2 linked regions of the Diceros bicornis minor genome follow. The protein of the gene in region 1 interacts with the protein of each later gene in a biochemical or structural test. Links are inferred from orthologs where the notes say so. Each region holds a gene or a part of one and is shown in the gene's direction. Other genes may lie near its edges.

Region 1 (7,188 bases):
GAAATAAGGTGGGGAGACCTCTGGAGAGCTGGAGAAGGTGGAGGCCTGGGACCTGGGCGCTAGAGCCCTGCAGCTCCTGGGACCACGTGGGCACAGGGGCCTGGCCTGAGGGTGCTCAGAGCCTGTCTCCTCTAGCTGGCCTGGCCCAGCCCTGTGGTCTGGGGGCTGGGCCCACCCTCAGGCCTTGGCTGGCGGTCTCCTCACCCCAGCAGCTGGATCCTGACAACACAGGCTTCATCGGTGCGGACACCTTCACTGGCCTGGTGCACAGCCATGAGCTGCCCCTGGACCCGGCCAAGCTGGACATGCTTGTGGCCCTGGCCCAGAGCAACGAGAGGGGTCAGGTCTGCTACCAGGAGTTGGTGGACCTGGTCAGTGTCACGGTGGGTGTGCAGCAGGGGCGGGGTCCCAGGCCTTGGCTGGCCAAGTGCTGTGCTGGAAGGCCGGGGTTGGGTGGGCAGGCGGCCCCTCCTCCCTGCCTCCCACTGGGGAGGGCTGTGGACGTTGGGCAGGGCCTCAGACCCTGTGAGGAGCTGGGCAGGCCACATGGGCAGGGCGGCTGTGGGTGTAGTACAGTGGCCCACGCTTAGGCCCCGCCCCCCAGATCAGCAGCAAGCGCTCAAGCAGCTTCAAGCACGCCATCACCAATGGACAGCGGGCACTGCCCCGGGACGGGCTGCTGGACGAGCCGGGCCTGGGTGTCTACAAGCGGTTTGTGCGCTACGTGGCCTATGAGATCCTGCCCCGAGAGGTGGACCGCCACTGGTACTTCTACCGGCATCGCAGTTGCCCACCCCCGGTGTTTATGGCCTCGGTCACCCTCGCCCAGGTGGGCCTGCCCACGTGCCACCTGGGAGCCACCCATGTCACTGGCTTGCCTAGCCCTAATACCCGTCTCCCCCAGATTGTCGTGTTCCTGTGCTACGGGGCCCGCCTCAACAAGTGGGTGCTGCAGACCTACCACCCCGAGTACATGAGGAGCCCCCTCGTGTACCACCCCGGCCACCGCGCCCGGGCCTGGCGCTTCCTCACCTACATGTTCATGCACGTCGGGTGAGTGAGGCCCCTCCAGTACCCCTGTGATTGAATCAGGAGGGCTCAGCCCCTTTAGATGAGGCTGTGGGCTGGAGGCCCGACAGCTGACCTCACTCCTCGCACCCGTTTGCCCCCACATGGCCAGGTTGGAGCAGCTGGGGTTCAACGCACTCCTGCAGCTGATGATCGGGGTGCCCCTGGAGATGGTGCACGGCCTGCTCCGCATCAGCCTGCTCTACCTGGCTGGCGTGCTGGCAGGTGAGCAGGCGTGTGTCCCCTGGCCACCTTGTTGGCAGGCCTCTCTCTCACGGCCCCCCTTTGTTCACATAGGCTCCCTGACCGTCTCCATCACTGACATGCGGGCCCCTGTGGTGGGGGGCTCCGGCGGGGTCTATGCCCTGTGCTCAGCACACCTGGCCAACGTCGTCATGGTAAGGGGGCAACCACGGGCAGGGTGTGGGGAGGGGCAAACGAGGCCTGCCTCATGGCCTTTCTGTCTCACACCCCACAGAACTGGGCTGGGATGAGGTGTCCGTACAAGCTGCTGAGGATGGTGCTGGCCCTGGTGTGCAGTGAGTAGGGGGCTGGGGGGACTGGGGGGACTGAGCCTATGGCCAGGGTGCCTCCCACCTGCTGCTTCCCTCTGCAGTGAGCTCCGAGGTGGGCCGGGCCGTGTGGCTGCGCTTCTCCCCGCCACTGCCTGCCTCGGGCCCGCAGCCCAGCTTCATGGCGCACCTGGCGGGCGCTGTGGTGGGAGTCAGCATGGGCCTGACCATCCTGCGCAGCTACGAGGAGCGCCTGCGAGACCAGTGCGGCTGGTGGGTGGTGCTGCTCGCCTATGGCACCTTCCTGCTCTTCGCCATTTTCTGGAACATCTTCGCCTACGACCTGCTAGGCGCCCACATCCCCCCACCGCCGTAACGGGCTTCTGGAGCTACACAGGCCAGGGCGAAGGTGTGTGTGGGCCAGCCACCAGGCGGGCCTGCACATCCGCCCTCCGTGAATGTACGTCTCAAGGCTGCTGCTTCTCCCCTGTGGGGCGGGTGGCCCCTGTGGCCCCAAGTCCAGGCTGAGCCTTACACCAGCCCTGGTGCCCCCTCCCAGGCCTGGGGGTGTAGGACTGTTGGGCTGGGCCTGGTGGTGGAGGTCCCCAAGGGTGGCCCCAGAGGAGACCCTGCCTCCCAGCCTCCCCACCCAGGATTTGCGGTCTGAGCCTTTTTGGAGAATGAATAAATATTTTACACAGCACCAGGTGGCTGTACCAGAGCTCTGGGGGCTGGTCTGGCCTCCCCCCACTTGCTGAGCAGACCGTGAGGGCCCTTCCCTCCATGCAGGCGGCCTGGGCTCCCCCTTGCTCCCTCCACCTGGTATGAGGTGTGTTTGTAGGAGGCAGGAGGTTCTGGGGCAGGGCTGAGGGTCTCACCGTCAGGGGAGAGCTCAGCAAGCATTTACTGAGTGCCTACAGCAGCTGGCTCCTGCTCTGCCAGCTGGCCAACCAGAGACCTGTGGCCTGAGGTTGCGCGGCAGGTGAGCAGGCCCTGGGCCACAGCCACGTTCAGTCAGCCTGGGTCCTGTGCTTCTTGGCTGGCCTAGTGCCCTCAGGGGTGGCTGGGCCAGGGCCGAGGTTGGGCAGCAGGTCGGGGCACAGCTTCTGCCTCACAACCCAGGTCCACAGTGCTGTCTCCACGTGGTGAGGGGTCCACACCCCTGAGGTGCTGCCTAGGGAGGAACAGGAGGAGTCTGGGGACCAGGGGCCCTGGCCTCCCTCCCCTGCTGGACAGCTTTGCACACTGCCCCTTCACTGGGTCCTGGACGTCCTCACCTCTGCTCAGGGCTGTGGCACACTCCCGCCCCCCACCCAGGTACAACATGTAGTGCTTGGAGAGTGTACTGCAGAGCTAGCAGGCCAAGCACTGCGGCCACTGCCTCGTCGGAAATGAATGCTGCCTCCTCGGGGACTCCAGCAGCAAGGACCGCTGTGGATAGGAAGGGCCAGCACTCAGCCTCTGCCACTCTTGGGACAATCTTGGCGTGGGGCTGCCATTCCCAGTGACTGCTGGTGTCATGGACATGACCATCTGTCCTTTTTACAGACAAGGGCGCTACCAGGCCAGGTCCCGCCCGCGACCCTGCTGGGGCGCCCAGCTCTCCCAACTAACCCGAGGCGGTGGCGGGGCCCACGCCGCGGAGGGTGCACAATTCTGTGACAATTCCCTGACCGCTGCCTGCAGGTCCGGCAGCAGGCGGAAGGCGGTGGCCGAGCGCTGCAACACCAGCTCGGGGGCATTGGAGGTCACGAGGCGCGGCCGGAAGCGGCCTCTCTGGGGCCAGGCCAGATTGTGGGTCACGGGTGGTGGTCCTCGCCAGGGACCCCCACCCCCGCCGCGCCCCGGCCCGCGAGGCTCCGCACCACGCCATGAGGACCTGCTGCCACAAGGGAGCCGCGCCCCACGCCGCGGGGACTCGGCCCCCGAGGAAGCCGCGCCCACGCCGCGAGGACCCGCCTCCCGGAGAAGGCCACGCCCACACAGCGAGGACCCGCCTCCTGGGGGAAGCCACGCCCCATACCGCGGGGACCGCCCCCAGGAGGAGCCCAAATCCCGCGCCGCGAGGACGCGCCCATAGGAGGAGGACACGCCCCGCCGAGACCCCGCCCCCCACGTGAGAAGCCCCTCACCACCAGCTTCCACGCTAGCAGCCACTTTAGGTCATCTAGTGTCACGTGCTTCTCTGCGCGGTCCTGGATGGCTGCGGGCAACTCCACTCGATACCTGGGGAAGGACGGTGACGGGGAGTTCGGGCAGCGGGAGTCGCCCGCCCTACCGACCCCTCCCACCGGCCTACCATCGATCCAGGGCTTCCAGCCGCCCCTGGGAGTCCGGGTGGGCCCGCAGCACCTCCCCGTGGCGCGCCAGGATGGCGGTCCAGAGATTCGAGTCCTCACAGCCCCACAACCCGCGGGCGGCTGCCATGTTCGGGCGCCGGGCCGGGGCCTGGGAGAGTCGGGGGCGGGGCCTCGGAGAGTTGGGGGCGGGATCAGGGAGAGTCGGGGCGAGCTTCTGGAAGAACAACCCCTAAACGCGCGTGGCTGAGAGCATCTAGGGCCGCCCTCGACGATCACGCAGACTTCCGACGCCGCGGGTTGCGTCTCCGGGGACGCACTCTGCCGGCCTGCCCCGCCCCCGCAGTGTGTCGGGCGCACGCGCGGCCCCGCCCACCCGCGCGTGTCTGTCCGGCCTGCGGGCCCCGCCCCACGCGGCCGGAAATTCCGGTGGCGGATCGGTGGACCCGGCCCGAGCGCATCGCGGGCTCGGGCTGCGGGCGGGCGGCCGGGCCGGGCGCGGAGCCTGGGAGCGGAGCCCAGGCCGTGCCGCGCGGCGCCATGAAGGGCAAGGAGGAGAAGGAGGGCGGCGCGCGGCTGGGCGCCGGCGGCGGGAGCCCCGAGAAGAGCCCGAGTGCGCAGGAGCTCAAGGAGCAGGGCAACCGGCTCTTCGTGGGCCGCAAGTACCCGGAGGCGGCGGCCTGCTACGGTCGCGCCATCGTGAGTGTGCCCGCGCCGGGGGAGGGGCCGGCGTCCGGGCGGAGAGGGGCGGGGCCGCGGCTTCGGCTCCGAGTCCTCCCGCAAGCCCCTGCCCGGCCGCCCCCGCCGCTCCTTCGGAGGATTTTGGCTCTTCCGGAGGGCGTTTGGGCTTTGAGGACTCAGTGATGATCTTGTTCCAAAGGGGCCAAGGCCGCGGCTCTCCAGCCGGTGCTGGTTGCCGGAGAACTGTGGCGGGTGGGAGCTTCAGGGTGCTTGATGCCCGTCGGGCGGGGGGCCAGGGATCCTTGCCCCTTGAGGACCGCAGGCCGAAAGCTGGGATCTCCCTAAGTCTGGGAAACTTGCGGTTACAAAACCTATTGGAGTCAAGAGGGTGGGCTCAGATAGGCTTCGGGGCCAGCACTCCATCTCCACCAACTCTCAGGACCCAGGGACTTTGAGGCTGAGAAATCTCTAGTGTCTTGATTCCAGCTATGGGCCACAAACTGGGATAGAGGGGGCAGGCTGAGCTCACACCCTCATGCTGGCTGGCCCTGCCTTGGTCCCCAGACCCGGAATCCCCTGGTGGCGGTGTATTACACCAACCGGGCACTCTGCTACCTGAAGATGCAGCAGCACGAGCAGGCCCTGGCCGACTGCCGGCGCGCCCTGGAGCTGGACGGGCAGTCTGTGAAGGCGCACTTCTTCTTGGGGCAGTGCCAGCTGGAGATGGAGAGCTATGATGAGGCCATTGCTAATCTGCAGCGAGGTGGGCCTACAGGCTTGGCTGGTTATGGGGGTGCCTGAGAACAGGGGGGTGGACTGGCCAGAGGGTGACATGAGGCCCCCATTCCCCAGCCTACAACTTGGCCAAAGAGCAGCGGCTCAACTTTGGAGACGACATCCCCAGTGCCCTGCGCATCGCCAAGAAGAAGCGCTGGAACAGCATTGAGGAAAGGCGCATCAACCAGGAGAGCGAGCTGCACTCCTACCTCACGCGGCTCATCACAGCTGAGCGTGAGAGGTAGGCTGTGGTGGTGGCAGGCTCCAGGGCACCCTCCCCAAGTCACCACTCTGAGATCAACTCTGAGTCACAAACACAAGTATTTATTGAAGGCCAACACTGGCAAGCAGGAGACAGGAGATGAGGTCTGAATAAGCCCGAGGTTGGCATGCACTCTGACCTCTCCTGGCCAGACCCATCTCTGACCAGCTCCTTGGTCGACTTCCAGGGAGCTGGAAGAGTGTCAGCGGAGCCACAGGGGTGATGAAGACGATGGTCATCTCCGGACCCAGCAGGCCTGCATCGAGGCCAAGCACGTGAGGGTGCCCTGGCCCACGTGTGGGTCTGTGTGTGCATGCATGCAATGTGAGGGTGCTGCTGGTTCCTGTTAGGTGTGTGTCTGCGCCTGGGGAAGGGAAATGGAGTGTTTACCCCACGCGTAGCTGCTCGCTTCTTCACAGGACAAGTTCTTGGCAGACATGGATGAGCTCTTCTCCCAGGTGGACGAGAAGAGAAAGGTGTGCTGTCTGTTTCCTGGGGCCTGTGGGTAGCCGGAATCAGAGCAGTGTCCCCTTCCTGCTCCCTGACCTGACCTGTGTGTTGCAGAAACGAGACATCCCCGACTACCTTTGTGGCAAAATCAGCTTTGAGCTGATGCGGGAACCCTGCATCACACCCAGCGGCATCACTTACGACCGCAAGGACATCGAGGAGCACCTGCAGGTGAGGGAGGACCAGCGGGTGTTGGGGGCAGGGCCTGGATCCACTGACCACCTTCTGACCCTGTTGTCACTACAGCGCGTGGGCCACTTTGACCCTGTGACCCGGAGCCCCCTGACCCAGGAGCAGCTCATCCCTAACCTGGCCATGAAAGAGGTCATCGATGCATTCATCTCCGAGAACGGCTGGGTGGAGGACTACTGAGGCAGGGCCAGTGCAAGGGCCACTCGCCCCGCTTTGCCCGGTAACCTGGCCCTGGAGGGCCTTGGGGCAGTAGCCCTGGCCCCTGTACAGAGTTCATGTCCCTGAATTCTTGCCCCAGTGTCCCCATGCCACTCTCCGTCAGTTCTGATGCTGGGCCATCAGCCTCCCCTGTCCCCTTTCTGGGCTGGAAACAGCAGGTGAGGGTGGGCTGGGCTGGGCTGGGCTGGGCTGAGGCTGCCGCTGCCACCACTGTCCCTGTAATAAAATATGTGAGCACTATAGGGGCACGTGCTGGTGCGCGATGGGCCCACTGGCTAGCTGAGGAAGGTAGAGATGAAGACACTGGTATCAAGGTTGAGTGTGGCATGCCACCATCGGTCAGGGAAATACAGCACCTGGTGGGGATAGGAGGGGGAACATAGGAGTCAGGTGGGGGCCCTCAGCCCAATACAGCCTGGCCCCCTTCTGCCAGCCACTGACCTCACCAGCTTGGATGGTGCACTCCAGGGGCCGCGCAGATGGTGCCAGGGCTGGGTATGTGTCCCGGAACCAGGCTAGCGTGGTCTTGTTGGGGTGGAACTCTGGTGTCTTCTCAGGGGGATACAGGAACCAGCGCTAAAGGCAGGAACAGCAAGGTCACTGTCCACGTTGTCAGTGAGCCCCAAGCCTCAGCTCCGACCCTGTGCTGACCTTGCGGCCGTAGATCACC
Region 2 (7,549 bases), on another chromosome or scaffold:
GGCCCCACAGGGCGGATGAGGAGCTGAGGCCTCTTTCCTCCCAACGCAGTGTTTATAAGAAATGAAACTGCGCAGGGCATCAGCGGCAGCCCACACTGACGCCCGCTCCACCTCCGGAGTTCCGGAACAGCCCAGAGCGCTGGAGCAATTCCTCGGCCCACTCTTACAATGCAGGACCCCCTAGTGCTTTCCCAGCCAGCGGCAGCCTCCCACTCTGCGTTTAGGGCTTTTATAACACCACGACGTTTATTCTGCTGTGTCATACAGCATTTTTGCCAGAGCTGTGAGAGGGGAGGGGCTCGTCTCGTGCCCCAGCATATCCCCAGGGCCAAACCTGGAGTTGACCCAGAGCAGGAGTGCGATTCATATTTGTTGAATGAATTAAGAAACGCCTTTCTTTCTCTCCAACTAGGCTCCTTTCAGGCAGGGTGATTAAGCCTGGATTCTGTCTTCAAGCTTTTGAGTGCTTTCGGATGATTTTATGCCTGACTGGTGCTCTGTACTTCACAGTTTAGGACTGCCTGCCTCCCAGGTTTGCTGTGAAAATAGAGATGATGGCTGGGAGGGACTTGGAGCATCTAAGAGAGCCTTCCCTCTGGACCTGGGAGGCTGGATCGCCTGCTGGGGGTTCATCTGCTTTGGAGACTGTGGCCTCTTCTCTGGGTAGCAAGCCCCTGCAGGGGCCCAAGGATGCCCTACTCTCAAAAACCTAGTTAAAGCCTTGCTGGGTCCTGCACTTCAGGACTAACTGGAGCCCACGTAGCGGGTGCAGTGTGTTCTGAGAGCCTAGGGAGGGGGCTGGGGACAAGATTTGGTCCATCAGGGAAGAGGCTCCCACACGGGTGATCTTGCCCCCAGCATCCTGATTGCAGAAATCACCTCAAAGGAGGCTCTGCCAGCCAGTCAGCCTCCTGCCAGGCACCACAGGGCCCCATACCGAGAAACTGCACAATATATTTACCCTCATTGAGTGACAGTATAGATGGGAGGCATCCTGTGAGTGAGACCTTGCTCCAGAGCTAACCCCCAGCTAACTCCAGCTGCAGGTGTGAGGAACCTGCTCAGGTCTCTTGCAGAAAAATTCAGCCTTTGTTCCCCAGAAGGGGGAACATACAAACTGTGTTCAGAGAATGGAAATGCAGTGAAAGGTTCATGCATACTGTTAATACATGTCATTTGACTAATGTTTTACAGTTTAGAAAGGAGTTTGAGGGGCTGGCCCAGTGGTGTAGCCCTTAAGTGTGTGCACTTCGCTTCGACGGCCTGGGGTTCACCAGTTCGGATCGACGGCCTGGGGTTCACCAGTTCGGATCCCGGGCGCGCACCGATGCACTGCTTGTCAAGCCATGCTGTGGTGGCATCCCATATAAAGAGGAGGAAGATGGGCACAGATGTTAGCCCAGGACCAATCTTCCTCAGCAAAAAAAGAGGAGGATTGGCATTGGATGTTAGCTCAGGGCTAATCTTCGTCACAAAAAAAAAAAGAAAGGAGTTTGATAGTCTGTCTGATTTCATCTTCACAACAATTAGGAGAGATGCGCAGAGAGTATCTCTATTTTACAGATGAGAAAACTGAGGCCCAGAGAGGGAGAGTAACTTGCCTAAGGTCACACAGCAAGTAGCAAAAGTACAAAAACCCAGCTTTCAGACTCAAATCCTGTGTTCTCTTTCCAACGCCCTTTAGTTACTGCCAAGGGTAGCAGAGCCTTGGAAGAGAAGTTTGGAATGGGACCCCTAGGACCAGAGCGAGCAATGATTTGAATGTGGGGCTAAGGAGTCTTGGGGAACTCAGAATGCTCCTGGGTGGACCTGAATAGTAGGGAGATCATCAAAGTTAGGGAGATCATCCTAGTGCAGAGGTGCCAGGAGGGGCAGGCTTGATGGGGAGGGAGGCCCAAGAGGAGGCTGTGGCCACAACAATCTGGTCCTGGAACGTGAAGACATGATTTGATGTGAGGAAGGAAGACCCAGAGGATCAGGTGAGGCCAAGAGGGGAGGAAAATGGGAAAGACTTCACCAGGGAGGGAGCTGGAATTAGGAAGAGAGAAAGCTGCTGGGGACAGTGTGGAAAGGGGTGGAAAGACTTCTGCTTGTGTGTGTGTGAATTTGTGGAGAGGGTTGTAGAGGAGTGTCCAGAAGGCAGCTGGAGCTGCGGTTTGGAAGTCACCTGCCCAGAGGGGATGGCTGGAATTACAGACGATGAGTATTTTGAGGCAGAGAGGGGAAAGGGCCCACCGTGAATTACTAAGAAATACCTAGGGAAGATTCTATGTGTTCTGCTTAGTGTCACAGGGAATGTGTGCTACATCTTAGAATGGGATTCATTAAGAGCAGTTACAATAAAAATTTGAGGTGCTTAAATAGGGTTTAGCTTTATTTCGCTGATTTGGCATATAGCACCCCCAATCATGATAAGTGGATTTTTATAGACTTCAAGATAAAATAAGAATCCCTAAAATTAAAAGTAAAAAAAAAAAAAAAAGTCAAAGAACACTTCAAAGATGTAAATGACAATTTCATTGGTAAATCCTAACATTGGGGAATTTTTCCTAAGCAAAAAATTATTGATGTGCACAAAGATTTAGCTACAGAGTGTTGTATTATGAAAAGATGGAAATAACCTAAATGTCCTACAATAGGGGATTAATTGGGTAAATTTTTACTTATCCTTATGATAGAATAATACGTACCCATTACAAATGATATTGCAGAAGTACCTTTCATGACATGGAAAGATGCTCATTATATATACAGATGCACATATAGATGATTATCTGTGAATTAACGTTTTTGTTTTAAAGCACTTTTTACAGTCTCCTCTTGCCTTCATAGGGTCATTTTGGTTAATTTCTCAGACCACATGAGCTGCAAACTTCCTCTCCCTAATCTCATTCTGAATTTTCCATGGCCGTGTCAGATTCTTAGAGACAGGACAAGCATCCATTTGCTGCACAGAGAACAGACTTCACAATTCTGAAGCCACTTGTTTTCTGCTCTTCTTGCTCAGATGGTCTTGGTCTTTGTAGTGGGTTCCCACTCCTATCTGTCACTTAAAGCACTCCACCCCTTCTCCCCCTTCCAGGGCCTCAGCACCTTCCCTTCTCCTTGACACCCAGCTAGGCTCATTCCTCACAGTTCCTCCTGCCTCTGCCCTCTCCCAGCTCCTGCACCCACCACTGTCTGGAGACAGCTCTGACCCATTCCTGTTGGTCTCCTGAGAACCAAGCTTGGCGTTATTCACAGCATCAGATTCTGGGGCACCAGAATTGGATTAACCCATCCATCTCCTCTGTGGGAGGGAGGCAGTAGAGTGACTGACAGGTGGAATGCTGCATCAATGTGTCTATTTATAGACTGCATCATTGCAACTGGGTGCTGCTGTGGAAGGAGAGCTGGGGTTTGGGGAGTGACACAACCAGCCCTGCCTGGAAGAGTGATTTACTTCTGAGTCAGCACCTTTGAGGAGTTGAAGGAAGGAGCCTGCTGGGCCACAGTTATGCATGGAAATGAACACAGCACAGCCTCTAGAAGTACAAGTGGAGCAAGGTCTAGTAAGCACACAAGTTAAGTAGCTGCCCTTCCCAAGTGGCCTGGGGCCTGGGCTCCCCAACCTTTTGGCTAGACCCATGGCCTTGGCCAGCCATAAGCAATGCCCTCATGCTGCCAAGAACCTCTCTGGGCCAAGCCTTGAGGACCCAGAAACAACACCAAGGCTGCCACTGAGGAGCTCCCAGGCAAAGGACATGTGAGGATGTGGAGGTGGCCTAAGGCAGGAGTGCTAGGAGGGACCAAGGCTACCCCACCCCAGCTCAGCAGTCCTTGATTCTCTGAAACAATTCTCCTCTCTTTCCCTAAGGCCAGACGTGGGGCAGTCCCAGGGATGTAGACGGTAAAGGGGGAGAGGTGTCTCCCTGGTCATTATTGTACTCCCAGCAGGGACCTTGCAAACCATGCAGCATCTGCTGCCCAAAAAGCATGGAGCTTTAGAGACATCATCTCTCTCTGTCACTGTAGACCAGCAAGGTAGGGCTATCACTATTTCGTAGTTGAGGAAACTGAGGTCCAGAGGCTGTGCCAGCAGCAGCCAGCCTGGGATTTCCTCTCGTCCGGCAGCCCCAAGCAGCACGCCAGGCAGAGTAGGCTTTCCTTTACTTTCCCAGGGCAGGCGAGTGATCTGGAGGTGTGTCACCCCTCAAAAAGGGGGCAGTGTGAGGGTCGAAATCCTCCCTTCTTGACACCCCATTAACAGGCCTGAGGAACCAGGTTACTTTTCAGGGGTTCCATCTTGGTGTTCACTCTGAAGAGGGCGGCAGGTGCCCGACTGACCCCCTCACCTGCGCTCTGGAGATTGATGTCCCCACCTCCGGAGAGGAGAGTGAAGAGACAGCCACAGGAGCTAGCAGGCTGGGAGAACGCGGAGTGAGGGAAGTAACCGCGGGGCCGGAGGGTGTTCGGCTTTCCAGGACAGCCTTTCTCCCGGGCTAGCTGCTGTGGGGGTGGAGTGGGAGAGGGCGGGGCGGGCCCGCGGACGCCCCGGGGCGGTGGCGCCGGGCCGGAGGGGGTGGGGAGAAGCAGCCGCCCTGTACTTCCCCTTCGCCGCTAGCTCTACAACAGCCTGATTTCTCCGAAATGATGTGGCGGCGCCGGCCAATCGGCGTCCTCGCGGCTCTTTAGAGGCGGGGCCGAGCATGGGTTGGGGGAATCCCGCTAAGTGTTTAGATTTCTCGCCGGCGCCGCTGCCCCGGCAGAGCGCGCCACTCCTTCGTCGAGGCAGGACGTGCGTCCGAGTCGCGCGGAGCAGAGGCCAGCAGGAGCCGTGCCAAGCCCAGGCCAGCCGTGCCCAGCAGCCCCGCGACCCGGGCATCCTCTGCCTTCGCTCCCACCCGGAATCGCGCTCCCCGCGCCGGCATAGCAGCTCCCGCTGCGCCAGGACCGGATCGCGCGCCGCCACCGGATCGCGCCCGCTGCAGAGGTGAGCCGCCTTCGCCGCGGAGGGACCGGTGGCGTCGAACAAAAGGGCGCTGGGCACCAGAAAGTGGGGGCCGAAAACCCCAGGCAGGAGAGTCGCGGGCGCGCGGCGTTGTCTGGGTCCCCGAGCGGTCTCGGGAGGGCGCTGGAGGAGCGGCGAGCGGCAGCGCGGGGAGGGCGGACCGCGGCGTGGACCGCCCACCCGGCAGAGGTTGCAGGCGTGCGGTCGCTTTCTCAGATCTGTATGCGCGAAGCTGCCGGGGGCCTCTAGGTGGCCCGGAGTGTTCGTTGCGCGCATCCACAAGCCGTGCCGGGAACTCCAGTGTACGTCCGCGCGTGGGCGCTCTGTGTTCCCGAAGGCGGCTTTCGGCGGTCCCAGCTCCGCGCCGAGGCCCCAGGTTTCAGGCTATCTATGCAAGCGGCGGGGGCTGGGGCTTGCTGCCCTGGGTGGCTGGAGGACCTGCTGGAGCTGCGGGAGGAGGCGCCACAGGTGTTTCTTGGGCCACTTCGCCGAGGAGGGGAGCCAGGCAGGAAGGGTTTGCGTCCCGGCCTCTGTACTGTGGCTGTCAGGGAGGCGTAGAATAGATGGGGGTCGGGGGAGGATGCCCAGGGTGCAGGGTGACTGCTTGCCCTTCGGGAAAGGTGCACAGCCAGTGGCAACAACTCAAGTAGGGACATTTCTTGGCATCAAGCAAAAGAATCCCCTCCCTTCCCAAAGGATTTGAATTTGGGGAGAAAAGTTCTGGTATTAAGATTCCTGTGTATTTTGCCTCTTTTTCCTGCACATAAATCCTGAAACTATCACTTGCAAGCCTGTCTCCTCCCAAGGCTCTCTAGGAGGGGGTGAGGGAAGGGGCAGAAGTTGGAGGGCAGATTTATTTCAGTGAAAGCCCCTTTCCTCACGATTGTAGTACCTGGGACCTGGCTGAAGGTGGGGAAGGTAACTGAATGACCTGGGGTGGGGCAGGGTAGTGCCTATGGCTGCTCAATAGATTCCAAACAGGAGCCTTCTGTCTTCTCTTTACAGCCAACATGCCCATCACTCGGATGCGCATGAGACCCTGGCTAGAGATGCAGATTAATTCCAACCAAATCCCCGGGCTGATCTGGATTAATAAAGTGAGTGTAACTCTTTGGGTTTGTCTGCCGCTATTTTAACCCATGTTCTTTGGGGGACCAAAGCTTCAGATGCAGTTCGAAAAGGGAAGTAATAGGGAGCAGGCAGCTGTGTTTCCCAGTGACTCCTGCATGCAGGGGGTGTGGGAGGCCCAGCCCTGGGCCCCACTTGCCCAACTTCTGCCTTTCTCCCTCCTCAGGGTATGGACAGGGCACCCACCTGAGGGCACTGACAGTTCCCAGCAGCAGGGCTCTGCCAGCATCTGCAGAGCTGGAGTTCTGGTCTCTTCTGAGGGAGACTCCTACAAACACACATAGCATCCTACAGGGCTCCAGTCAGACTGATGGGAGACAGAGAAGTGGGCACTGCTGGCAGGAAGGTGGCTGGCTCAGCAGGGGACCCAAGAATTAACCTTGCACCATTGCCCAGGCCCAAGAAGCCTCTTGCTGGTGCACAAAGGGCAACACAGACCCTGCAGACTTAATAGTAATAATAGTATTCATAATAATAGCTAATGCTTACTGTATACTCACTAGGAGTGTGGCACCATGCTAAGTATGTTACTTACATTGTGTCATTTAATCCTCAAAATAGCCCTGTGAGGTAGATCCTATTAATATCTCCATTTTCAGATAAGGAAACTGAGGCACTGAGAAGTAGAAAATAAGATCACATAAAAAGTGATAAAGCCAAGATTTGAACCTGATCAGTCTGACTCAAAAATCCATACTGTTAATCACCAGTAACAACAGTGAGACCTTAGTCTTTATATTTGTCACTGTGTTTTGTCATTCCATAGAAGACAAGACAGGGACAAAGAGGAACAGTGACAGTGCCAGGATCACACAGGTAGTCAGCATCCAAGTCTGGCCCAGGGCTCCCTCAGGTGTAGGGCCAGGACCCCCTGTGTAGGAGCCAGTGGTCCCAGGTGTCCTAAGCAGCCCCATCTAATTGATGGAGTTCTCACTTCCATGTTGATGCTGACAAGCCAGAGAGAAGCATCCCAGGGAGCTCTGTATGGGTTCCAGCACATCTGTAACAGACAGAGTGAGGTCTTTGCTGAGCTGATGGTACCACAGCTCATCAGAACCCAGAGCCCCTTCTGAGAGATCCAGAGTGATAGAGTAGCTGGTTTAAGCCAATCTCAGGATGGGTCAACCCAAGCCAGATGTCAGGGTGAAAAGGGGAAGTCAGCCTTTTCCCACACCTGGGGGGCTGGGCAGACTCAGGCCAAAAACCTGTGGTCTCTGAGCTGACACAGCCTTGTGTGTGTGTGTGTGTGTGTGTGTGTGTGCTGTTCAGGAGGAGATGATCTTCCAGATCCCATGGAAGCACGCGGCCAAGCATGGCTGGGACATCAACAAGGACGCCTGTCTGTTCCGGAGCTGGGCCATTCACACAGGTGTGTGCCTTGGACTTCAGCCCAGGAGGGGCCAGGGAAGAGATGAGAGGAGGCACTTCTGT

What was found.
Region 2: of the proteins of STUB1 (region 1) and IRF1, one has a biochemical effect on the other in vitro, tested with the Homo sapiens proteins (4 studies listed by BioGRID, with this or other methods). The link is inferred for Diceros bicornis minor from reciprocal best matches to the Homo sapiens genes STUB1 and IRF1.

Annotation. Positions count from the first base shown.
Region 1 is NC_080765.1:47,639,445-47,646,632, reverse strand, and holds STUB1 (E3 ubiquitin-protein ligase CHIP), read left to right. Parts: upstream 1-4,349; 5' UTR 4,350-4,417; coding exon 4,418-4,576; intron 4,577-5,122; coding exon 5,123-5,321; intron 5,322-5,410; coding exon 5,411-5,576; intron 5,577-5,784; coding exon 5,785-5,872; intron 5,873-6,016; coding exon 6,017-6,073; intron 6,074-6,161; coding exon 6,162-6,479; 3' UTR 6,480-6,675; downstream 6,676-7,188. Other genes in the region: RHBDL1 (rhomboid-related protein 1), read left to right, coding at 210-383, 605-1,053, 1,181-1,466, 1,547-1,607, 1,685-1,956; uncharacterized protein LOC131422050, read right to left, coding at 2,591-2,754, 2,858-2,933, 3,255-3,356, 3,413-3,806, 3,880-4,007; JMJD8 (jmjC domain-containing protein 8), read right to left, coding at 6,794-6,874, 6,960-7,094, 7,170-7,188. UniProt on the Homo sapiens protein: E3 ubiquitin-protein ligase which targets misfolded chaperone substrates towards proteasomal degradation.
Region 2 is NC_080740.1:51,801,818-51,809,366, reverse strand, and holds the start of IRF1 (interferon regulatory factor 1), read left to right. Parts: upstream 1-4,542; 5' UTR 4,543-4,972; intron 4,973-5,189; exon of another isoform or gene 5,190-5,292; intron 5,293-5,351; exon of another isoform or gene 5,352-5,366; intron 5,367-5,378; exon of another isoform or gene 5,379-5,458; intron 5,459-5,995; 5' UTR 5,996-6,000; coding exon 6,001-6,087; intron 6,088-7,387; coding exon 7,388-7,487; intron 7,488-7,549. UniProt on the Homo sapiens protein: Transcriptional regulator which displays a remarkable functional diversity in the regulation of cellular responses.